Linked DNA regions of Arabidopsis thaliana. The protein of the gene in region 1 interacts with the protein of each later gene in a biochemical or structural test. Each region holds a gene or a part of one and is shown on either strand. Other genes may lie near its edges.

Evidence for each region.
Region 2: the proteins of AT4G22730 (region 1) and AT2G19230 form a complex in vitro, tested with the Arabidopsis thaliana proteins (one large-scale study listed by BioGRID).
Region 3: the proteins of AT4G22730 (region 1) and TMK1 form a complex in vitro, tested with the Arabidopsis thaliana proteins (one large-scale study listed by BioGRID).
Region 4: the proteins of AT4G22730 (region 1) and AT2G01820 form a complex in vitro, tested with the Arabidopsis thaliana proteins (one large-scale study listed by BioGRID).

What each region holds. Positions count from the first base shown.
Region 1 is NC_003075.7:11,939,001-11,944,389, forward strand, and holds AT4G22730 (Leucine-rich repeat protein kinase family protein), read left to right. Parts: upstream 1-2,000; 5' UTR 2,001-2,383; coding exon 2,384-2,813; intron 2,814-2,901; coding exon 2,902-3,162; exon of another isoform or gene 3,163-3,249; coding exon 3,250-4,143; coding exon of another isoform or gene 4,144-4,148; intron 4,149-4,214; coding exon 4,215-4,696; 3' UTR 4,697-4,885; downstream 4,886-5,389. Other genes in the region: AT4G22740 (glycine-rich protein), read right to left, coding at 5,050-5,177, 5,264-5,347.
Region 2 is NC_003071.7:8,342,948-8,350,364, forward strand, and holds AT2G19230 (Leucine-rich repeat transmembrane protein kinase protein), read right to left. Parts: upstream 5,485-7,417; coding exon 5,400-5,484; intron 5,309-5,399; coding exon 4,762-5,308; intron 4,691-4,761; coding exon 4,206-4,690; intron 4,124-4,205; coding exon 3,985-4,123; intron 3,909-3,984; coding exon 3,837-3,908; intron 3,747-3,836; coding exon 3,675-3,746; intron 3,590-3,674; coding exon 3,509-3,589; intron 3,394-3,508; coding exon 3,236-3,393; intron 3,153-3,235; coding exon 2,953-3,152; intron 2,871-2,952; coding exon 2,744-2,870; intron 2,659-2,743; coding exon 2,596-2,658; intron 2,513-2,595; coding exon 2,323-2,512; intron 2,230-2,322; coding exon 1,816-2,229; coding exon of another isoform or gene 1,812-1,815; intron 1,182-1,811; coding exon 1,004-1,181; intron 936-1,003; coding exon 863-935; intron 802-862; coding exon 764-801; intron 661-763; coding exon 505-660; downstream 1-504. Other genes in the region: AT2G19240 (Ypt/Rab-GAP domain of gyp1p superfamily protein), read right to left, coding at 6,101-6,256, 6,515-7,417.
Region 3 is NC_003070.9:24,629,357-24,635,303, reverse strand, and holds TMK1 (transmembrane kinase 1), read right to left. Parts: upstream 3,967-5,947; 5' UTR 3,802-3,966; coding exon 1,506-3,801; intron 1,422-1,505; coding exon 889-1,421; 3' UTR 523-888; downstream 1-522.
Region 4 is NC_003071.7:356,847-362,581, reverse strand, and holds AT2G01820 (Leucine-rich repeat protein kinase family protein), read left to right. Parts: upstream 1-1,657; 5' UTR 1,658-1,900; coding exon 1,901-4,187; intron 4,188-4,373; coding exon 4,374-4,918; 3' UTR 4,919-5,229; downstream 5,230-5,735. UniProt on the Arabidopsis thaliana protein: Involved in auxin signal transduction and cell expansion and proliferation regulation.

The DNA.
Region 1 (5,389 bases):
TTAGTGCATTAGTCTTCCTTAATCATACAAAAACAACTGTGAAAATACAGCACTACTAAAAAGTAAAAAGTAAGAACTTTTTAATGTAGAACGTATGAGATGGTTCAATTAATCACAAGACACTTCTATGGCATTGCGTATTAAACGAAAAGTGAGTAAATAGAATTTATACATAATGATCTAATCTTGATCTTGCTAATAAAAATTGTAAAGGCAACAACAAGTTGTCAAAAATTTCAATTTGACGTAGAGATAAATTCTATCTAATAATTTTGTAAAAACATTCGAGATATAGTGTATCATTTTTCCATCATCTAGAACTCATTTGCGTATTTTCAAGTGTAAATCAGAACCTTGACACATAGGCTACACAAATTTTGGTCGATATTTATATTACTTTTGTAGCATAATGTGGATATCCTTCTAGAGACTAGAGTTCTAGATAAAACATTCATACATGTAACTATGTAAGTAAGCATGCATACTAAATATAAAATTTTCAAAAGTTTTAAAAGACATCATATAGATTCAAAAAGACGTGGGAAAAAGGAGAAAATGACAAAAGTTATTAGTAAAACAATCAAGTAAAAGGTCAAAGTAGTTAACGAAAAGATAAAAGTATTTCAAAAGTCTTCCTTCCATCTTGAAATGCCAAAAAATAAAAGACGAATGATTGAAGATAAATCAAAGTTGTCTGATTGCTATTGTATACATCTTTTTTTTTGTTAAAACTATTGTATACATCTAAAAAACCTTGAAGTAATCAAGATCTGAATTATAGCCGTTGATAAGGTTTTATGCTTTCACATTGAACTCGATCGTCGTCGTCAAATCTACTAGTCTCGTTTTTTAGTTTTAACGTGCTTAATTACTTCACTAATTTGTTTTTTGTTATCATTTTCACCAATTTTATTCATTGTGTGAATTAAGTTTTGTCCACATAGTAAGATTCATCAGTATAATAGGACATATGATAAAAGTTTGTATATAATCAAAGAGTATATCTAAGAATATCTAATTAAGATGAATGTTTCAGTCCACATTGGATTCTGCTTATAGTCAAACTGTCTTGTTCTTAAACCCAATTAGGTTAGAATACATGTACCAACAAATAGCATTTCTATAACTAATCTTTTATCAATTTACTTTATAGCCTACAAATAATTAGAGGAAAAGAAAAGAGAGTTAGTGGAATAATTGTCCTCTAAATCTCGATATCATCATTAACTAAATACTATATTTAGACCATATATACTATATTTTATAGTATACTATATTTTATAGTATATATAATCAACTAATCATATTAGACCACTATTAGAAATATGGATCTAAAAAAAACATTCTTTAATCAGTACTATTCTCATCCAAAGACTTGTTTTAAGAGACTAAATATGAATATGTGTATGTGTATGTGTATGCAGGAGTAGACACGTGCACGTGGCACATGCAGGGAATGGGAAGGTGGAGTGTTGACAAAGAAGAAGAGGATGATCCAAGTTTCGAAATGATTCCAAAAGTTATGAACTATAAGCCAAAGTGCTCAATCGCCAAACATGAACTTAAATAAACTTCACTCGTTAGATCGTTTTCTCACATTAAAGCCGCTCTACACTTTTACCCATTTTACCATTTATAATAACCACCACACATAGATATTAAGTTCTATGGATTTTATTCGTAAACTTAAGTTATGATCAAATAGCTAAATGATTTTGCGATTTGCCCGAGTTCTGTTTGTTTCTAAAATGGTTATCCAAAAAGCATATTTTTGTTTTATATAGAATTTGTGATATAGAAGAAATATACTAAAAATGTTTTAAAGTCTGTCTAAATCATAAACCAATGCAAAGAAAGTGAAATAAACCAAGATCTCGAGCAATAGACATAATAAATAAACAAACACCTAATAACATCACATCCCCACTAACAAATGTGAACATTAACTGTTAAAAATCACCAAAAAAGTCATCAAGATTTGGCTTTCCTTTTCAAAAGCAGTATACGTCTCTGTCTCACACAGACAGTGTATTCAATGCGTTGTGTTGTCTTCCCACTTTTCACCAGCTGAGGTTCTGCTTCTTTCTCTTCTTCTCTCCAAAACAAGAAAATTCTGCAGAATAACTTTTCATTCACGAGAGTGGAAGGTTACAGTTTTCCAAATCCGAGAAACAGACACAAAATTGGTCCCTCTCTAAAAGTTACTATCTTCGTTTAACAAAGAGATAGCTCCCAATCCAGTACAAAACAGAGTACTCTGCTCTATAAATTTCGTTCCTTTATTACTCTGCTCTATAAAACAGATTATTCTGCTCTATAAGAGAGATAGATAAATGAGCTAAAGCTCAGTAATTTCTAAACAGAGAGACAAGAAAATTCAAGAATGGTTACCTTATGTGCCACGTTACTGATCCTTCTCTCAATCTTTCTTGCAACTCCGTCGAATGTTCGAGGAAATGCAGAGCTGAAGGCTTTAATGGAGCTGAAATCGTCGCTTGACCCTGAAAACAAGCTTCTCCGTTCATGGACGTTTAACGGCGATCCATGCGACGGATCTTTCGAAGGAATTGCATGTAACCAGCATCTAAAAGTCGCAAACATATCATTACAAGGGAAACGTTTGGTCGGAAAATTGTCTCCGGCGGTTGCAGAGCTCAAATGTTTGTCAGGTCTTTACTTACATTACAATAGTCTCTCTGGAGAGATACCTCAAGAGATCACAAATCTTACTGAATTATCAGATCTTTATCTCAATGTTAATAACTTCTCTGGTGAGATTCCGGCAGATATCGGCTCCATGGCTGGCTTGCAAGGTTAGCATCTTATAATGTTTCACAGATCTTTCACTTGAATGTTTACTCGATCTTCCATTTGAATGTTTTGTGGTGTCTTTTGTTGCAGTTATGGATCTTTGTTGCAACAGTTTAACAGGGAAGATACCAAAGAACATTGGATCCTTGAAGAAACTTAATGTGTTGTCTCTGCAACACAACAAACTAACCGGAGAGGTTCCTTGGACTTTAGGAAACTTGAGTATGTTAAGCAGGCTTGATTTAAGCTTCAACAATCTGTTAGGTTTAATCCCAAAAACCCTAGCCAACATTCCTCAGTTGGACACTCTTGACTTGCGCAACAATACTCTCTCTGGCTTTGTTCCTCCTGGTGAGTTAATGATTCTTGAAACGTCTTTGTAAGAGCTTATCTCTCTGTTTCTTGACTCGGTTTTTTCTTCGTTATGTTTCTTCAAAGGTCTTAAGAAGTTGAATGGGAGCTTCCAGTTTGAGAACAACACCGGGTTATGTGGTATCGATTTTCCTTCTTTGAGAGCTTGTTCTGCTTTCGATAATGCGAATAATATCGAACAATTTAAGCAGCCTCCTGGTGAAATAGACACTGATAAATCAGCTCTTCACAACATTCCCGAGTCTGTATATCTCCAAAAGCATTGCAACCAAACACATTGCAAGAAATCCTCATCGAAACTCCCACAAGTTGCTTTGATTTCAAGCGTGATTACCGTCACTATAACATTGATTGGTGCTGGTATATTGACCTTCTTTCGCTACAGAAGAAGGAAGCAAAAGATCAGTAACACACCTGAGTTTTCCGAGGGAAGACTAAGCACAGATCAACAAAAAGAGTTCCGTGCATCGCCTTTAGTGAGTCTTGCCTACACTAAAGAATGGGATCCGCTAGGTGATAGCAGAAACGGAGCTGAGTTTTCACAAGAGCCTCATCTCTTTGTTGTAAATAGTAGCTTCAGGTTTAACTTAGAAGACATTGAATCAGCAACCCAATGCTTCTCAGAAGCTAATCTATTGAGCAGAAACAGCTTCACCTCAGTGTTCAAAGGAGTCCTCAGAGATGGTTCTCCGGTAGCTATCAGAAGCATCAACATAAGCAGTTGCAAGAACGAAGAAGTCGAATTCATGAACGGTTTAAAGCTTTTATCTTCGTTGTCACACGAAAACTTAGTGAAGCTACGTGGATTCTGCTGTTCTAGAGGCAGAGGAGAGTGTTTCCTCATCTATGATTTTGCTTCAAAAGGAAAGCTTTCAAATTTTCTTGACTTACAAGAACGCGAAACTAATCTGGTCCTTGCTTGGTCTGCAAGAATCTCCATCATCAAAGGGATTGCAAAAGGTTAAGTATTTGAAATATCACTTCTTTGAGTTCAAGGAACAAAATGTATTTAATACACAAATTTCTTGCAGGTATTGCTTACTTACATGGAAGTGATCAACAGAAGAAGCCTACAATAGTTCATCGAAACATCTCTGTCGAAAAAATCCTACTTGATGAACAATTTAACCCGTTAATCGCTGATTCGGGTCTTCACAACCTTCTAGCAGACGATATGGTCTTCTCAGCACTCAAAACAAGTGCAGCAATGGGATATTTAGCTCCGGAATACGTCACAACCGGAAAATTCACCGAGAAAACCGATATTTTCGCCTTTGGAGTCATCATTCTCCAGATACTCTCTGGTAAGCTCATGCTTACAAGTTCACTGAGAAATGCAGCTGAAAATGGAGAACATAACGGGTTCATCGATGAAGATCTTCGTGAAGAGTTTGATAAACCAGAGGCGACTGCAATGGCGAGGATTGGGATAAGCTGTACACAGGAGATACCAAACAATAGGCCTAATATAGAGACATTGCTTGAGAATATAAACTGTATGAAGAGTGAATGACTCTGCTTTTTAATTAGTATCTTTGTGCAAGTATGATTCTCCGGTTAGCTGTGTCCCACCAATTGGTTTTGTTTGTTTTAGTTCTCTCCAGTAAGAACCGGGTCCGGTTTATATTTTATTTAGATTTGTAGCTGAGAATTGAAGCTTTAATCAGTTAGCTATATGATTATAAGCAACGAAGAACTGATTAATGTAACAAAAGATACATATATAATAATCATCAAGGAGCAGTGTTTAAAACCCTCAAATCATGTCATCATACAGTTACAGTAATGATGATGCAACCTAAGTAAAGTAATTAGTCTTTGGTTACATTCACTAAAGATTTTCGAAACCATACATATAGGCGGAGATTAGTTTGTACCATGTCCTCTTACATTCATTGCAGCTTTCGGTCTTCGGGATGATTCTGCTCGTGCATGAGAAGGACTTGGATCAGTCGAGGGAAGTAACATTGGTTGCTCTCTGTTCACAAGACCACCTGCAAGAACATCAAAGAGATGATTTATCTTTGTTCACAAAGAAACGTACAACACGAAAACTTGACCGTGTAATAGGACTGCTTACTTCCAAATGAACCAGAGCGACTGGGTAACTGCATTTGCCTTCTAGCATTTCCACTCCAAGACTGTTCAAAACCAGCCAATTCATCTGCAGAATTTTGCAATTGAAAGCAAACGGTATATAAGGATA
Region 2 (7,417 bases), on another chromosome or scaffold:
TAAATTTGTTATGTAGATATTGCATGTTCCTATATTTTATTCAGAAGCTATTGCTATAACATAACAGAATCTTCCTTATATGATGTGTAGAAAGACAAGGTAGGGAAGTAAAGATGCAGAGAACCGATCTTATGCAAACGAGAATGAGAACATAGTTGGTCCTGAAGCAGTGGTGGGGAATAGTGAAGGAGATTCAGATTATTGTTTTTGGATTCATAACTTCCACTATTTCCTGGCTTCCACAACATATATTAAACGAGTCATCATTATTCCCTTTTAACACAAGAACTAAAACAAGTATTTGGCTTCATCTCAATAAATCAATGTACAAAAATATTTAAGAAATTGAGGTCAATTTCTTTCATGAGTTTTCCTCTACACATTTAGACCTAACCACACCTCGATTGAAAACAGAAAGTTTTATTCTTTATCCTTTTACTCTAAAACAATATACATTTCAAATGTATTTACAGAGCTGACTCAAACAAATGAGAGAACACAACCTCACATCTCTGACAACAGATTACTGAGTTTCCGAAGCTCCTTAAGTGCTGTTGTAGCAGTGACTTGTCCCTTTTCGATCAAATTGGTTTTAGCAAAGTTCCCTATCAATCCTGCCTGAACCAGACTAGGTTCTTGTTGGAAAACCAACTCAACTGCCTGAATATAAAATAGACTAAAATCATCAGAACATTTGAGCTTGTAAGGCGGAGAAGAATTGTCATGGAAATGGCTAAATATCTTTGTTACAATAATCCTATACCACTAGAGGCAAGAAACTAACATACTCATACTTGTTACCTTCAGAACCATACGAAAAATACTTCTACCAGTTTGATGAATATGAGAACTGAGAAGTTACCTGAATGTGTTAGAGCATGGACTGGCCAAGGTTCTTCAGAGTCCTCATCAGATTCTGATTTGAGTCTCCATTGCTGCAAGAAGATAAAGCTTGGGGGTGGGACTCAGAATGGCAACCGATTTGGTTCTTTTTAATTTCAACATCACTGGTCTTTGTGGCATCAGAAGCTTTTCTATCTGAAGTCTCCTCACTTGACAAAGTGTGTTTAAGCTTCCGGAACCACTGGACTATTCCATGTAAAAGGTTGTGCTCCTTAGTAATGCCCACAGATTTATCTGTAGAGTTGACTGCATCAGGCTGAGTTACTGGATACTCATTTCTCGTATGGGGAGATACAGAAAGAGGTGAATTTACACTTGTTTGTTGACCTTTATCGTTTTCTGAACCGGTACATCAATCTAAATCATTTCCACTGTAATTTGACCTATGTAACATACTGAACCCGCCAGATTTTAATTTTGTACGTTTTCTCTAAAGGTTTTTGCATGGAAGCTTTATGATCTCAGGCTTGTCCTTGCTTCTTATATGAAAGCTATATCAAAGTTAGTTTTCTATATAAACTAGCTTTACTTTACAGTATAACCATGCTTTACTTTACCATATGTACTCTCTTTGTGACCATCTTCTTCCTTATATCTACCTTACTAAGCCAGTCCCATACTCACAGGTTATGTATTAATGTTTTTATCAGAACAATAGAGCTCAATTGAAGGGTATCAGAACAATATTTTTTCTTCTTGTCCATTAAAGAATGTTTGTATATATGTAGCTCAAGAATTAAAGTGTCGATCAGAAAGTAAACAATGTATAAAAGAACTTACCGTTACTAAGATTTAAGGCAAAAAAAAAAACAATTCAATTATACCCAACCTTTCTTCTCTTCTTAATCACAAATCATTTTTATTTCATAGCTCACATAATTTTCCAAATGCTTTTAAACTGAGATGCATTACCTCGGTTGAGGAAGCACCCCCGGGTCAACAGTCATGGACACGTTCATCTCCGTCGGCTCGCTAAAAGAAATATCTCCAGAATCACCACTGGTTCTTGCTCTGCATAGACTCTCTTTTAGCTCAGCCACAACCTGACTCATCGTGAGTCTTGTCTTAGTACTTTCAGACGCACAAGCCAATGCTACTTCAGTGATCTTCCAGGCCAAGCCAGCGTTGAACCTCTCTCCTAGCTTCGGATCCACAATGCTTTTGATATCTCCTTTAGACAGCATCAAGCTAACTCGGTCGCTTATATGTCTGTTCTCTTCAGTCCTTGAACGTGAAATTACCGGTTGGCCCGTGATTACCTCCAGGAGTACCACCCCAAAGCTATAAACATCACTCTTCTCGCTGAATTGCTGCATCGAGTAGTGCCTTCATTTCAAATAACCATAGAGTAGAGAAACAAATGAATATAGACAACAACAAAAATAGCTGAGATTTGAGGTTCGAAGAGAAAAGCTTTACTCAGGGTCAAGATAGCCAATAGTTCCAGCGACTTCAGTTGAAACCTGACTGTCACCTTCCAGTGTGAAGCTTCTAGATAAACCGAAGTCAGCGATCTTGGCCTGGAGCTTTTCGTTGATTAGAATGTTCGTAGGTTTCACATCTCTGTGAACTATAGGAGGTTTGCATCCATTGTGGAGATACTCTAGCCCTGTTTTTTTCAAGCAAACCAAAGTTTTATTGATTTTCTCATTCTATTTTTATATGTAATTTTGAGATACAGTAATGGTGTACCTTGTGCTGCATCTAATGATATCTGTAACCTTTCCTCCCAGCTCAAAATACTCGAGTTTTTCCCTTAATTATAGAAAACGACAATCAGATTAAGTTCTTCTGATTATAACAAAGACAAGTGACCAAAAATTGACTACATGAGGCTGACCTGACAAGTAGTCTCCCAAGGTCCCATTACCGATATACTCGTAGATAAGTGCCATTTGATCTCCTTCGTGGCAGTATCCAATAAGAGCTATTAGGTTCTTGTGATGAACTCTCAGGAGAAGTTCAACCTGACAATCAAAAAGTCCATGTCTCTCTCAGAATAGTTCACTTTTCATCTGGACTGAACCTTTAAGACTATATGAGAGTAACCTCTGCTCGGAATTCTTTGTAGCCTTGAGCTGATGATTTAGACAACATCTTGATAGCAACTTGTTCCCCACGTAAGACACCATAGTATACTTTTCCGAAGCCTCCTTGGCCAAGAACTCTCTCAAAGTTGTTTGTAATTTCCACTATTTCTGAATACTTGTAGTATCGCTTTGTGTCTAGTGGTCCGGTCTTGACACCTGCTAAGAGATCAATGAGAAATTATTTTCATCAAAAGTCTTGGAAAAAATAAGCAATTTTAACAGGTGTTTTATGATTCACCCACTTTGTTGTCTCTTCTTGAATTGCCAGAAAGAAATTAATGCGAGCAAGAGAAAAAACAATCCTGTAACAGATGCTACTGATGGAATAATGTATTCTTTCCTCTCCGTCTTTTTGTTTCGACATGAATCAGACACGCAAAGGTCTGGATTCCCGCCAACTCTAATGATTAAAATTCAGAAACGTTATGTGAAGAACAAACCATTAATACATGCCAAATTGAACTGTTTCAAATCAACAAATGTGGGATGAGTTCAAAATCTTATCAAGAACCAACCTCAGAGAAAGCGATCCATCTTTTGATCTCTCCAATAGTTTCTCCGGGAGGATACCCGTTAACTTGTTTTCTTCCAAGTTTCTGCAGAAACATGTGTGGAATCCATAAATATTAGTAAAAGATACCAACGTTTTTCTAATATGAAAATTCAGTTGGGATGACTTACAACTCGGTTAAATCCGGTAAATTAGCAAGGAAATCAGGTACTGTTCCTGTTAATCTGTTATTTGATAAGTCTCTGTAATGAAATGTTTTGGTTGTGTTAGTTAGGCTTCAAAAACTCTGTGTACTATAAATTGCAAAAAATAAAATAAAATAAAAAACTGACAGTTTCTGTAATGGTGTAAGGGTGATGAAGACTGGATCAATCTGGCCAGTCAATCCACTAAAGGATAGGTTCCTGCAAATCACACATTTGTTGCTTTGAGGACAGAAACATATAGTACTGAGATATATGCTATTCAACAAATTCTTACACAGAAATGATTCTCGGAGGATTGTTAGCGGTGTAGCTACAATTAATACCCTGCCAAGGATAGCCAAATGGAGCACAAGGATCTCCGAGCCAGTTCTTCTTCACTTTATACTTGGTCTTTATTTTCATAATTGCATCAACTACAATTCATACTAAACAGACTAAGTAGAGAGCTAAGTATATTAAGTGAGGCAAGTTCTAATTCTGAATATGTAACCTTACCATCATTTTGATCAGTAGGCAAATCAAGAAACTCGTTGGTACGATATGTCTCGATGGCATTCATGATAGGAGGACGCGTGGACTTAACACCTTGTCTAAGAACAAATTCGAGAAATGGTCCGCTCACGGGGTTTTGAACGTAAAGTGTATCTGTATACAAGTAGCTAGGCCTAAACACACTAGTAGTGTCGATCTGCTCTTTGTTCAGAAACACAGAGAACTCCCTTGTCTCATTACTTGGAAGTTTCTCAACTTCAGCAAAGTGTATGTATATATAGAATTTCCAATTTGGGTCCCGTGGTTCCCAATAAACCATTATCTGCTCTATGCTGGAATTCATTGGTGCTACTGCAGTGCTCATGACAACACTAGGGGGTAAGAATCCGTTGCTGCTAGTCGGATCTATCATCAGCGACGTATTGAGGATCAAAAAGTTCGGAAACATCAACGGCATCCAGAAGCGGTCAAAAATATCGTCTTTGTACCTATATTATTAGAGAAACGTAAGGCAAAACAGAAATAATCAGAGTGTATAAACGGTTAATTAATTTTTAACCTGGCAGGAAGATCTCCGGTTGCACCAAGATCCCATCTTCGATACAGCATAAGAGAATCAGAAGCAGTCTCGTATATATTATTTTTCAGGAGCCTGAGTTCTAAGACAGACAAGAATGGAGTTCCTCTTTCTTTATCAACAAGACACACATGAACCTTGTCCGAGCGAAGAGTGTAGATGATCTCTTTGGTGACTATAGTAGTTGAATTCTCAAGAGTAACAGAATCCCAGAGATTGACACCAAGATAAAGATCGAAGTCGGGTGCTTTCCCTAGATTATCGTAGTTACCGTACATGAAACGGGTTCTTATCAGATACTTGAAGCCTTTTCCCTGAGGAGGCTGCACATCGTAACAGTTTTTCTTGCCTTCAGGGAAGCTCCTAACCTTTTGGAACTGTTTCTCAAGATTTTTTTTCTGAAACTTAGAATCTATGCTATGAATTGTCCCGGACTCGACAAATGCAGCATCTGAAATGTATTTTATGTCTGTTTTCTCATCGTAATAACTGGAATCTTCTGGTATACCACAATCTATACTAACAAAACCTGTAAAGCACACGCACATGAAAGCCTTTTACAAAGTATATATAGACGTATTCAATATCTTTAAGGAACTAAATCATTGTCTAAACTCTACCTGATTGGTCTTGAGCACAAACAAGAACAAGGACAACAACAAAGCTTGCGAAAGAAACTAGCGGAAGAAAGTTGAAATTCCCCATCAGTCACAATTCTCAATCAATTTCTCATAGATTCAAACTAAACCTTATATATGAAAAGCTTGTTATTTTCAGTCATTCAATAGGCATGTTGCCAACATGTGAACCACCTTCCCTGAAAGCATATATATACTATAAGCCAAAAGGGTATTTTGTGATTTTATAAGAGTTTCTTCAATATAATGTCAACGACTTACGAAAGTGTATTCACAACAATTTCCAAACCGGAAAAGTGGTGGGGAATAGTGAAGGAGATTCAGATTATTGTTTTTGGATTCATAACTTCCACTATTTCCTGGCTTCCACAACATATATTAAACGAGTCATCATTATTCCCTTTTAACACAAGAACTAAAACAAGTATTTGGCTTCATCTCAATAAATCAATGTACAAAAATATTTAAGAAATTGAGGTCAATTTCTTTCATGAGTTTTCCTCTACACATTTAGACCTAACCACACCTCGATTGAAAACAGAAAGTTTTATTCTTTATCCTTTTACTCTAAAACAATATACATTTCATAATGTATTTACAGAGCTGACTCAAACAAATGTAAAACAATATACATTTCATAATGTATTTACAGAGCTGACTCAAACAAATGAGAGAACACAACCTCACATCTCTGACAACAGATTACTGAGTTTCCGAAGCTCCTTAAGTGCTGTTGTAGCAGTGACTTGTCCCTTTTCGATCAAATTGGTTTTAGCTAAGTTCCCTATCAATCCTGCCGGAACCAGACAAGGTTCTTGTTGGAAAACCAACTCAATTGCCTGAAAATAAAATAGACTAAAATCATCAGAACATTTGAGCTTGTAAGGCGGTAAAGAATTGTCATGGAAATGGCAAAATATCTTTGTTACAATAATCCTTTACCACTGGAGGCAAGAAACTAACTTACTAGTTACCTTCAGGACCATACGAAAGATACATTTACCAGTTCGATAACCCATTTTACTGTCTTTGTACTTATCTTTTTATAAATGCTGGTAACCGCTGAAACACGATGAATATGAGAACTGAGAAGTTACCTCAATGTGTTTGAGCATGGACTGGCCAAGGTTCTTCAGAGTCTTCCTCAGATTCTGACTTGAGTCTCCAGAAGACAAAGCTTGGGGGTGGGATTCAGAATAGCAACCTATTTGGTTCTTTTTAATTTTAACATCATTGGTCTTTGTGGCATCAGAAGCTTTTCTATGAGAAGTCTCCTCACTTGACAAAGTGCGTTTAAGCTTCCGAAACCACTGAACTATTCCATGTAAAAGCTTGTACTCTTTAGTTATGCCCACAGATTTATCGGTGGAGACGTCTTCATCAGACTGAGTTACTGGATACTCATTTCTCCTATGGGGAGATACAGAAAGAGGTGAATTTACACTTGTTTGTTGATCTTTATCGTTTTCCGAACCGGTACAGCAATCTAAATATTTTCCACTGTAATTTGAATCTATGGCAGGACTGATTGGATCAGAGGAGACAGATGAATTCTCTTCACTAATTGAAACTATGCTTTTGTCGTCTTCATCGGGAAGCAAATTTGAGCCAGCACTGCTAACTGAATCGTTTTCAATTTTGGTTGAACATCTGACAGGACTGGTTGGGTCTAAGGAGACGAATGAACTCTCCTCACTTGGTGAACTTCCACTTACTATACTCTCTTCATCTGCAGAATGGAATTCCATAATGTTTTCCTCAGTTTCTTGAGGATGAATGTTCTCCTTGTTCACAGTCACATGACAATCAACATTGAGCTGCTCAGACGAATCTTCAAGCAAACTTTGTGTCACTGGAGATGAGTTTGCTTTCCGTTCCCCAATTCCTAACTTATGATGTGATAGATCAATCACTGCTCGGAAAAGTTTTGTCACATTCAACCACCTCTTTTTCTTCTGTGTAGGAGGAGTCTGTTTCTCCAAACAAATTTTATTTTCTTC
Region 3 (5,947 bases), on another chromosome or scaffold:
ACTATCTCCCTGTTCTCTGTGCTGTATTGAATTGTACTTATTTATACACAACTTTAAATTGATGATAAGTGTAACGATATTAACATAATTATGTTTTAGATTTCCAGTCCAAGGTTTCTATTTTGTTTTAAAATCAGCCTAACAAAACAAAAATATAATCGAATTATTGTAGTCCTGACCAAAACTTTGTTTATTTCTTTGAATTGGTTGAACTGTTACCAAACGTTATCTTGATGATTTATAATTTCTAAAAATACACTGTCCTTTTCTCGTTTTCATGTAACCAAAATACATACAAGTTTGATATGAATGAATATTAGCCAAAATCTGAAACTTAAATTTCTTTAAAAACCGAAACCATACCTAATCATCCATTTTATAATAAGTTTTATTTACTTTGGATGCTATTACAATGTTCAACACTCTACCTACATGATACCATGATAAAAAAAAAAGTTGTGAATCTGTGTCACCAGATACTAATTTAATCCAATACTTATATATTAATACTAGGTATTAAGTCCGAAACTAAATTCACAGAAAACATTTTGGTTGAGATCAAGTTGATGTCAATTTATAAAGATATTTAAAAAATGAAGATCCAAACAAAAGAGACAGCCATGTGAAGATGGATCCAATGCCAACCTCTCTACCTCACTGTCATTTACCATTTCCCACAAACTTGAAGTACACACGTCAACTTTTCTAAATCAACAAACCAACAAATAAAACACTCAACATCAAAATAATATTAAGACACCCAAATTAAGCCCTAAATGTTACTTGCATCACAAGAAACATGAAAGAATTGTGAGGGGAAGAAGAGGAGAGGAAACACAAATATACAAAAGGAGAAAAATCAAATCTGGGTTTCAAGGAATCTCTCATTCATCGTCCATCTACTGAAGTGAATGACTCTGCGAATCCGTAAGGTCTAGTGGGAATACTCATCTGCGTGTTGTCCAAGCTAGGTAAAAGTGATGAAGTTGAAGATTCGAGATCACTTCTTCCTTCATAAGCTTGCCATTTCTTAAGTGCTTGAGGTAAAGACATGTCGAGATCGATACCATATATGTCTTCTGGATTCTGATCCGACGGTTTCCATAGCTCAACGAGTGATGACAGAATGTTGACTGCGTGTCCCATGTCTGGTCTCTGGTAAGGCTCACGGGCACAGCAATGGCCTGCTAGTTCAGCAACAGTGTGAACGCTGGCTAAGGTTTCTTCGTCTAGGTCTATTGTCGTGTCGATCGCTTTCTTGAATGATGCTTCTTTGTTGATGTACATCCGTTTGAACCAAGAGACCAAGTGAATGCTTTCTTCTGGTTGCGATTCGTCTAGAGATTTTCTTCCCGTTATGAGTTCCATTAGGATTACCCCGAAGCTGTATACATCGACCTTCGTTGTCACTCGACCCGTTACTGCAACAAACAAGATCACAATCATCATCAATAAACAATCTTTAGTACAAACTGAATCATATCATCATAAAGAAACAAACTAACCTGCGTATTCGGGTGCCAAGTAACCAAATGTTCCAGCGATTCTAGTCTCAATCGATCCTTTTCCTTCAGGAGCGAGACGAACGAGTCCAAAGTCTGCAACTTTCGCCCTCATATCATCCCCAAGAAGAATGTTAGAAGGCTTAAGATCCCTGTGTATAAAGCTCTGGTGAGCTAATCCATGGAGATACTCCACACCTCTAGCAACATCCAAAGCTAAAGTCAATCTCTGTTTCCACAACAGAGGCTTAAGTCCTTCCTCTGACCACTCAAACAAATGCCTACTCAATGTCCCTTGAGGCATATACTCATACACAAGTAACTTCTCATTCCCATCCAAACAATAACCAAGAAGCGTAACCAAATGACGATGCCTAACCTTTGTTAAAACCGCAATCTCTGATTTAAACTCCGCAAAGCCTTTACCAGCAATAACTCCATTCTCCATTCTCTTAACCGCAATCTTCGTTCCATCGTGCAACTCGCCTTTATACACAACCCCGAAACCTCCTGATCCAAGAATGTTATCTGAACTGAAGTTGTTAGTCACAGAACGAAGCACTTGGATTGATATCAGCATGTTTCCTGCTTCCACCATTTGAATATTATCTCCAACCTCACTTGTACCAGGAAGCGTATAAGTATCACTTATCCCTCCAACGCTTACGCTTGAACCCGCAACTGTAATCTTAACACTCTCATTGTCAGACCCCGAATGTCGCGGATGCACCACTACTGCATTTGAGCTCTCACTTCCTGAGAATCTCTTCTGCCTCTTTTTGTACCAACAGAAAACTAACAAACCAATCAAGAAGATTGATAACAAACCTCCAAGAACTGAACCAACAATGATTCCTATAAAAGTCGAAGACTTCATTCCTCTCCGGTCTTTATCACCGTTGATACCTGAACCCGAACCACCTGAAGGCGAAGAAGAACCAGGAGAAGACAAAGAGCTTTTATCCTTTCCAATGTCAGGATTACCATTAGTATTCACAACAACATTGCTTCTAAAACCCGGGACCTTCCCGAAAAGCTTGTTACTCGAAACATCGAGTGTTTTGAGATTAGGTAACGTTGTAAGCTCTTGAGGAATCATACCAGTAAGATTGTTGATACCAAGAATGATTCTTTGAAGCGACTTGATCGCTCCAAACTCGGGAGAAATCGTCCCGGTTAGTTCCATTTTCTCAAGACTGATAACAGTAATGTTCCCATTGCTACAAGCTATCCCAATCCAGTTAGTACAAGGATCGTTTCCTTTCCAACTCTCAGCGAGCCGGGGCGGATAATCGAATGAACTAGCTATCAAAAGCAAAGACTTCACTCTAGGATCACACTCACCAGGACTAGACAAGCAAAAGCTGTTAGAATCTTTATCCAAATCAACTGAAACAGAGCTCTTAAACACAGGCACTGGTCCTTGTAGATGATTATTCGTCAAGTTCACAACTTTAAGTGACTCAAGACTTAACAAAGACGCAGGAACTGGACCTGTAAAGGAGTTATCTCTCAAACTCAAGCTCTCAAGCTCCTTAAGACCCGAAAAGTCCGGTAAAGGACCCGAAAACTTGTTGGAGTGAAGCCAAACCTCTTTTAAACCAGTCATGTTCTGAAGAACAGTAATATCACCGGTTAGTTTCTGACCATTGAGCCACAATGACTGAACCTGAGAGCCAGCTAAACTCATAGGCAACTCTCCTTCTAAGTTGTTGAAAGCCAAATGCAAAATCGACAAACCGGGAAACTCATCCGGTCCGAGAAAACCGGGTAAAGAACCGGAAACATTAGCCGAATTAGCAGAGAAATTCTGAAGAGCAGAAGCATTTCTCAAACTCTCTGGAATCTCCCAACTCTTAAAAGGATTGTTATCAATTTCTACAGATTGTAACGAAGTTAAACCTTGAAAGACATCACTAGGGATAGAATCAAAGTTGTTGTTACTTAACATCAAGACTTGTAATGAAGCTAAACCACTTAAAGAAGGAACAGGACCAGAGATGTTGTTCCATTGAAGCTCAAGTCTTTCAAGCTCTGATAAGTTACGTAGATCAGGAGAAAGTGTACCTTGAAGACCCGAATGCCCGATTTGGATCCGGGTCACACGTTTTGTTCCTGTACAAACGATGTGAGTCCATTTACATGGGTCAGGGTCAGACCAACCGAAAGAACTGGGTGGGTTTAAGCTTTTCTTGAGTGATAACATCGCTGAGAGATCTCCATCAGAATCAGCTTTAGAAAGAGATAGAAGAAGAAGAAAGGTAAATGAAAATAGAAGAAAGGTTCTTCTTTTCTTCATAGCTTGAAGAAACAGAGGATTGAAGAAGAAACAGAGAGATAAAGAGAGAAATGTGAAGAAAGTTTGAAGCTTTTAGGAAATGGGAAGATGGGCCATTGAGAGAGAAGGAAGAAGATGAAACTATGAAGCAGAAGCCAAGGAGACTGCACATGGGATGTCTGTCCCACTAAGCCAATGACAGTTTGGTAACAGATTAGATATATTTATTTTTATTTTTATTTTATTTTGGAGTTTTTTAATTTATTTAATTTTTATCATAGGATTGAGATAACGTTTATTTGGAAAATAATTAAAGGTTGTAGTGGATATATTGACTACGTAGTGTGAGTTGGATTTTGTCAAATGCTTCACACAAACGAAATGGTGAAATAGAAAAGCAATTAATATCTCAATTTTGCTTTTTCATTGGTAAAAGATGTATCGTTTAAATTGCCAAAAATATCTCAAATTTGCTTTTTTGTATCTTGGTAAGTTATGTATATATACGAGATTTTAATTTTTAGACAAGTTGTTTATTCGCACAAAAAAAAAAAAGACAAGTTGTTTATAAGGGTGAATTTGTTATGTAATTCAAATTAGAGGGGATTATTACTTTATTAGCAAGAAAATATGGTTAAATTTTCGTAAATAAGTGGTGTGTTTTAGTGTGAGTAATTTTCAAAATAATGTTTATAGGATAAATAGCATAACAGAGTTGAATTTTATACGCAGAACTTACATTACTATTATGTTAAGTCAAAATTCATAATCCAAACCATTTTTTAAATCACAAACGAAAAATGAAGTACAGTATTAAAAATGCAGTTCACTAATTTCATAAGAAGAAGAAAAAAACACAAATCATGGTTATTTAGTGGTATTTGTTTAATAAGAAATACAGTAAGTAATAGTTGTTGTAACTTGCAAGTAAAATCACTAAATTCAATTAACCAAAGAGTAGAATCCTTGTGCCAGCTACACATTCTGAACCTTTTATTTCTAAATACGTAATTGAAGAAAATTAATGTCTTGAAAGTTGAAAAGTTAAAAAGTAATTATAGGCGAAAGTTCGATTTTCTTATATATATTCTATATTCGGTAGTTCACCAAAATGATAACTAAACAATTTAATTGGTTGTATTTTAGTGATCACACATCGAGGGTTCTAGGCTGTCAATGGCATAAGAGTGCAAAAGTTGTGAAAAAGATTGGCAAATGATTCGTAGATAACACACAAAAAAAAGCATAAAATATCAGTATAATATATATCAATTACTATCAAAGTTATTATAAAAAGCATACAGTTGTCAAAACAAAATTTCATAAAGAAGTCTCGACTAACGACCCGAAAGTCCGCAACAAAGATATACAAACAAATAATGAAATAATTATTATATTAATATTATATGAATGTTTTAATACATATAATATGAATATATGTGGATACAATTAATATGCAAATTTTTATAAATTTGATGTGTCTGTTTTTAGCAAAATGCTACATGTATCTTTCGTTGCTGTCTCATGAATCATGATGATTTAAAGTCCTTTTATCTTTTTATTTTTAGTTTTTTACTATTATATTGTTATTACTTTCTATGAGATTTTTTTTTTTTTTAATATGTGTATAAGAAAAACCCAGGTGAAGCTTATTCCCCATGCACATGGCTCTCTGCAAGATCTACAAGGAAAAAAAAAACTTTATCATTTCTAATTCTAACTATATAATGTTTTATTTTTTTAGGTTGGATAATAATTGTGTTTGTCATAAATTAGGGAATGATGATGAATATTGTAGTGAGTGAGACCTGTCAAAAATACTAAATGAACTCAACTTTTTCAAATCAGTGCAAGACTTTATTATATTACTTTATTGAAAACAAAAATTTGTTACTTGTTGGGTGTTAAAAGAGTATCACGTAGCATACCAACATAATAATGTATAGCTGAAAGATCTGTTCCAAACGATTATAACGTATATGTCATCAATATAAGTATATAGCAATGAATGTAACTCACAAATTCAATACAAAAGAACATGTTATATATTTGCAAGGAAATTTTTCTAGCAATTCGGCAAATAGCATGTAACAAGAGATTTATGTTCGAAACCAATCTGTCACAATATTAGATCCATCGCAAAAATATTTCCGTAAAGTGATATTCC
Region 4 (5,735 bases), on another chromosome or scaffold:
ATCACCACACTGTTAGGTTCTAATTTGAAATGCCTTCCGACTAATACCAAGGATAATCATACCGTCTGCATTTCTAACTACCAAATAAATTAATTGGACCAAATCACAACTGAGAGACTTTCTAAACAAATTTGTTATTGTTTTCATGAAAAATCAAACTCAGGTATAGGAGTTAAAGTTTCCTTGTGCCACTACACCAAAGAGGTTTGGACAAATATCTGATTTTTAGAATTATTGAGAATTTAAGAAATGATTGAAAAAAGAAGTAAGTGAAATAAATGTGGTTGATGTGTGACCGTAACGAACAGCAAAGTGGACTAGTTGTTGTTGTCACGTAATCTTTCTACGTACACAAGTGTTCGATCTACATTTCGTGCGAGTTTATAGTATATGGTTGGTGCGTATAATACACCAATCTTTAGCTACTTTTACTATTTTTCTATAAGATTAACAACAACAATATACATGTCCCAATTTCTACATATCGTACTATAACTATTTTTAAAATAGTATAGTTATAATATTTATTACTAGTGAATAAAAACAGACATTCAATACCATAAGAAGAAGAATAGTTCTAGGTTAGAGTGAAACTGGTAAGTAATAATAATAACTCTCCAACCTAACAAACATTAAAAATTGTGGTAAACGGCGTAAGATAACGACCGTTAAAAAATCAGCCGAATGAAGATTAATGCGTGGCTAATATGCTCCGGATTTCACGGCGTCTGTCTTTTACAGTTAAAAACTTTTTTGTCGGGACTGCAAAAAAATCACATTTATCTTGTTTGGTCAAAATTAGTCATGAGAAGATTAAGACCATGCAATGCAAAGTACTCATTAATCTTTTAATTTTTTTTATTCAAAGTATATAATTACTCACGAAGTCGTGACACAATGAGTCAAAAAATGAATTAAATAAAACGGTGTAATCTTAAACTGTCTTTAGCACGTTACGATGAAATTTCAATTTTCGACTAATCTTTGACCCTAAACAATAGGTAACCACCGTCACCGTATTAAATGCTTTTTCTATTCTAAGAAATACAGATAAGTTTCCACGTATTGTATTCGTCCCACAAATATTCATAAGGAGGAAATAATATCCTTTTTTTATAGAAGCAAATGGAAATAATGTGAACAAAAATCCAAGATCTATTACAAAATAAAATATTTTAAAAATTTAGGAAAGACAATCGATATTATTAGCAGTTTAGTCCGAAAAATGCCGAAATACACTCAATCATAGAGATATTACTTTTATTATTACCAATTTTGACACAAATCAATTGTTAAAACTTCCTAAAAAGTAAAATTCTCTAATTGAATATATAAATAAAATATTTCAAACGTGATTTTTATTTACAAACTTTACAAATGTTAATAATATATTCACCTAAACTGAAAACATCTAAATGTCATAAAATTTGTATCTTATTCCTAATTCTGATTTTTTTTTAATATAAAGTTATAAACACAATTAGTAGATAATCTCATTATTCATAATTATGGATTATTCGGCGATTTTCACTATTGTTTTTCACCACTAATTATGCCACCTTGCCAGCTGTATTCACACACACACACACACTCTACACAAGCAAAACTTAAAGTATGCATTTTTATTAATTATGGTTCATCCATTTTATTACAGAAGAATAAATATTTCATTTGAATGAGAATAATAAATAAAAAGGCAATGCTTTTATGATCCTCTTACCTTTAATCTTCTTCGTCTCTCTATCTTCCTCGATCTCCGCCGATTCCTTCGTCTTTCCCTTTCCTCTCTGTAAACCTTTTCTTCTTCTTCTTCTTCAATGCCTCCCTAAAACCCTAGACTCAGAATTCTCAAAGGCGACACCTTTAACCTCCTCCACTCTGTTTCTTTCTCCAACAAAAAATGTCAAATTCCCATTTGGGTACTCTCTGTTTCATCATCTCTTTACTGGGTTTGGCCAATTTCTCACTTTCTCAAACCGGTCTCGATGATTCGACTATGCAATCTCTCAAATCAAGTCTGAATCTTACATCAGACGTCGATTGGTCTAACCCTAACCCTTGTAAATGGCAATCTGTTCAATGCGATGGAAGTAATCGTGTTACTAAGATTCAGCTTAAACAAAAAGGGATTCGTGGAACTCTTCCTACTAATCTTCAGAGTCTCTCTGAATTGGTTATTCTCGAGCTTTTTCTCAATCGTATCTCTGGTCCTATTCCTGATCTCTCTGGCTTATCTCGTTTACAGACTCTGAATCTACACGACAATCTTTTTACCTCTGTACCGAAGAATCTCTTCTCTGGTATGAGTTCTCTTCAAGAAATGTATCTCGAGAACAATCCGTTTGATCCTTGGGTAATTCCAGACACCGTTAAAGAAGCTACGTCTCTGCAGAATCTAACTCTCTCCAATTGCAGCATTATTGGAAAGATCCCAGATTTCTTCGGTTCTCAGTCACTTCCGAGCTTGACGAATCTGAAACTATCTCAGAATGGTTTAGAAGGAGAGTTACCGATGAGTTTTGCTGGTACTTCGATTCAGTCTCTGTTCTTGAATGGTCAGAAGCTTAATGGATCGATCTCGGTATTGGGGAACATGACTTCGCTCGTTGAGGTTTCTCTTCAAGGAAATCAGTTCTCAGGTCCAATTCCTGATCTCTCTGGTTTGGTATCTCTACGTGTGTTTAATGTTAGAGAGAATCAGCTCACTGGTGTTGTTCCACAGTCTTTGGTTAGTTTGAGTTCGCTTACTACTGTGAATTTAACTAATAATTATCTTCAAGGACCGACTCCGTTGTTTGGCAAATCCGTTGGTGTTGATATAGTCAACAACATGAATAGCTTTTGTACTAATGTAGCTGGTGAGGCTTGTGATCCTCGTGTGGATACTTTGGTATCTGTAGCTGAATCATTTGGATATCCAGTGAAGCTTGCGGAAAGTTGGAAAGGAAACAATCCTTGTGTTAACTGGGTTGGGATTACTTGTTCTGGAGGTAACATTACGGTTGTTAATATGAGGAAACAGGATCTCTCGGGTACGATTTCTCCGAGTTTAGCTAAGCTTACTTCATTGGAGACTATCAATCTTGCTGATAATAAACTCTCCGGGCATATACCTGATGAGCTTACCACATTGTCTAAGCTTAGGTTACTTGATGTGTCTAACAACGATTTTTATGGAATACCGCCAAAGTTTCGGGATACTGTGACTTTGGTGACTGAAGGGAACGCTAACATGGGGAAGAATGGACCTAACAAAACGAGTGATGCTCCTGGAGCTTCACCAGGAAGTAAACCTTCAGGAGGAAGTGATGGCAGTGAAACTTCTAAGAAATCAAGCAATGTCAAGATTATTGTTCCTGTGGTTGGTGGGGTTGTTGGTGCATTGTGTTTGGTTGGGCTTGGTGTGTGTCTTTATGCGAAGAAAAGGAAGCGACCTGCTAGAGTTCAAAGTCCAAGCAGCAACATGGTTATTCATCCGCATCATTCGGGTGACAACGATGACATTAAACTCACTGTTGCAGCTTCTAGTCTTAACAGTGGTGGAGGAAGTGATAGCTACAGTCACAGCGGAAGTGCAGCGAGTGATATTCACGTTGTTGAAGCTGGGAACTTGGTTATATCGATACAGGTCTTGAGGAATGTGACGAATAACTTCAGCGAAGAGAATATTCTCGGGAGAGGTGGTTTCGGGACAGTTTACAAAGGCGAACTCCACGATGGAACAAAAATAGCTGTGAAGAGAATGGAGTCTTCGGTTGTGAGTGATAAGGGACTTACTGAGTTTAAATCTGAGATCACTGTTCTGACTAAAATGCGTCATCGTCATCTCGTTGCGCTTCTCGGTTACTGCCTTGACGGGAACGAGAGGCTTCTTGTCTACGAGTACATGCCACAGGGGACACTAAGTCAGCATTTGTTCCACTGGAAAGAGGAAGGGCGAAAACCGTTAGACTGGACTAGACGGCTGGCGATTGCATTGGATGTAGCTCGAGGTGTCGAGTATCTGCACACACTTGCGCATCAGAGCTTTATCCATAGGGATCTAAAGCCATCAAACATCCTTCTTGGTGATGATATGCGCGCTAAAGTCTCTGACTTTGGGTTAGTACGTTTAGCCCCTGATGGCAAATACTCCATTGAGACTCGAGTAGCTGGGACTTTCGGATACCTTGCCCCAGAATACGCAGGTTTGTACTTACCCAAATTTTAAAGTCTCTGCCTTTCAATTGATTTGCACTTGCCCAGTGTCAAAGTTTCATACTTTGGCCGTTTTGCACTTAAATTTTCATGCTTTGATCTTATTGCATTTTCCTAAATGTTATAGTTTCATCCTTTGATCGTTTGGCAATTGTTCTATACTCTGATTTTGGCAGTGACGGGAAGAGTGACGACCAAGGTAGACATTTTCAGCCTTGGGGTCATACTTATGGAGCTAATCACTGGTCGTAAAGCCCTAGACGAGACGCAACCCGAAGACAGCGTCCATCTAGTCACATGGTTCCGTCGGGTAGCAGCCAGCAAAGACGAAAATGCCTTCAAAAACGCAATAGACCCAAACATCAGCCTCGACGACGATACCGTAGCCAGTATTGAAAAAGTCTGGGAGCTTGCTGGTCATTGCTGTGCCCGTGAGCCTTACCAAAGACCTGACATGGCTCACATCGTTAACGTCCTTTCTTCACTCACCGTCCAATGGAAACCAACTGAGACCGACCCTGATGACGTCTATGGGATAGACTACGATATGCCGCTTCCGCAGGTGCTTAAGAAATGGCAAGCTTTCGAGGGACTAAGCCAGACCGCGGATGACTCGGGATCTTCGTCTTCGGCTTATGGAAGCAAAGACAATACGCAGACAAGTATCCCAACTCGCCCATCTGGATTTGCTGACTCGTTCACTTCTGTGGATGGACGTTGAAAAAATCAAGATTGCGTAAAACGTTTTAGTAGAAGAAGAAGATGAAGCATTGTGTGATAAATCTCTCTCTCGCTCTCCCTTTTTTTGCTTTTCTCTGAAGCATATTTACTTATGACTTCGTTTTTATCTACTGCAAGCTTTTGGTTAGTGTATTTATCTATCTACTTTGTGTAGTTTTTATGCAAAGATAACAATCTTTGAGTTCTTAAAATTTTAATATTTCGTCAGTAAAATCCAACTCATAAACCGTAAAAGCTGAACCAAACAGTATTTTGAACTCACTGCGGTTTAAGTTATTAACATGTGTTTAGGGGTTTAAGCAAGTAGATTACTATAAGTACACTTTCTATGAGAAATCATTTTGTATTCCAAGCCCACAAGTCCAATAAAGCCATGTGTTTATGGGTTTGGACTTTGGACCATACACCCACTGGAATATCAAAGCAGTCTCCGTATTCATTCAATTTGCTATGAGCCAGTTGGTCCTTCCCTTCTAATGAAATACATGATTTTGGTGTCCCTCATTTTATAAAGCACACTGTCCAATCCAATCTTCATAATATTAAGCATCTACTATTTAGGTTCACTGATCATATGATATAAAATCTAAACATCAAAGGTGACACCAATAATTGGAACTAAGTTAGGCAAACTTAACCGTTTACATGTAAGGAACCAATTATCACTTATAAACCATTCACAGCTTTTGATGTAGTTAAAAAAGATTAGATATGAGCTCCAATATAATGCAGATTCAACAACAAAAACAATACTAGAGTTATATACTCATATGTCACTAATTATTTTAGATATATAT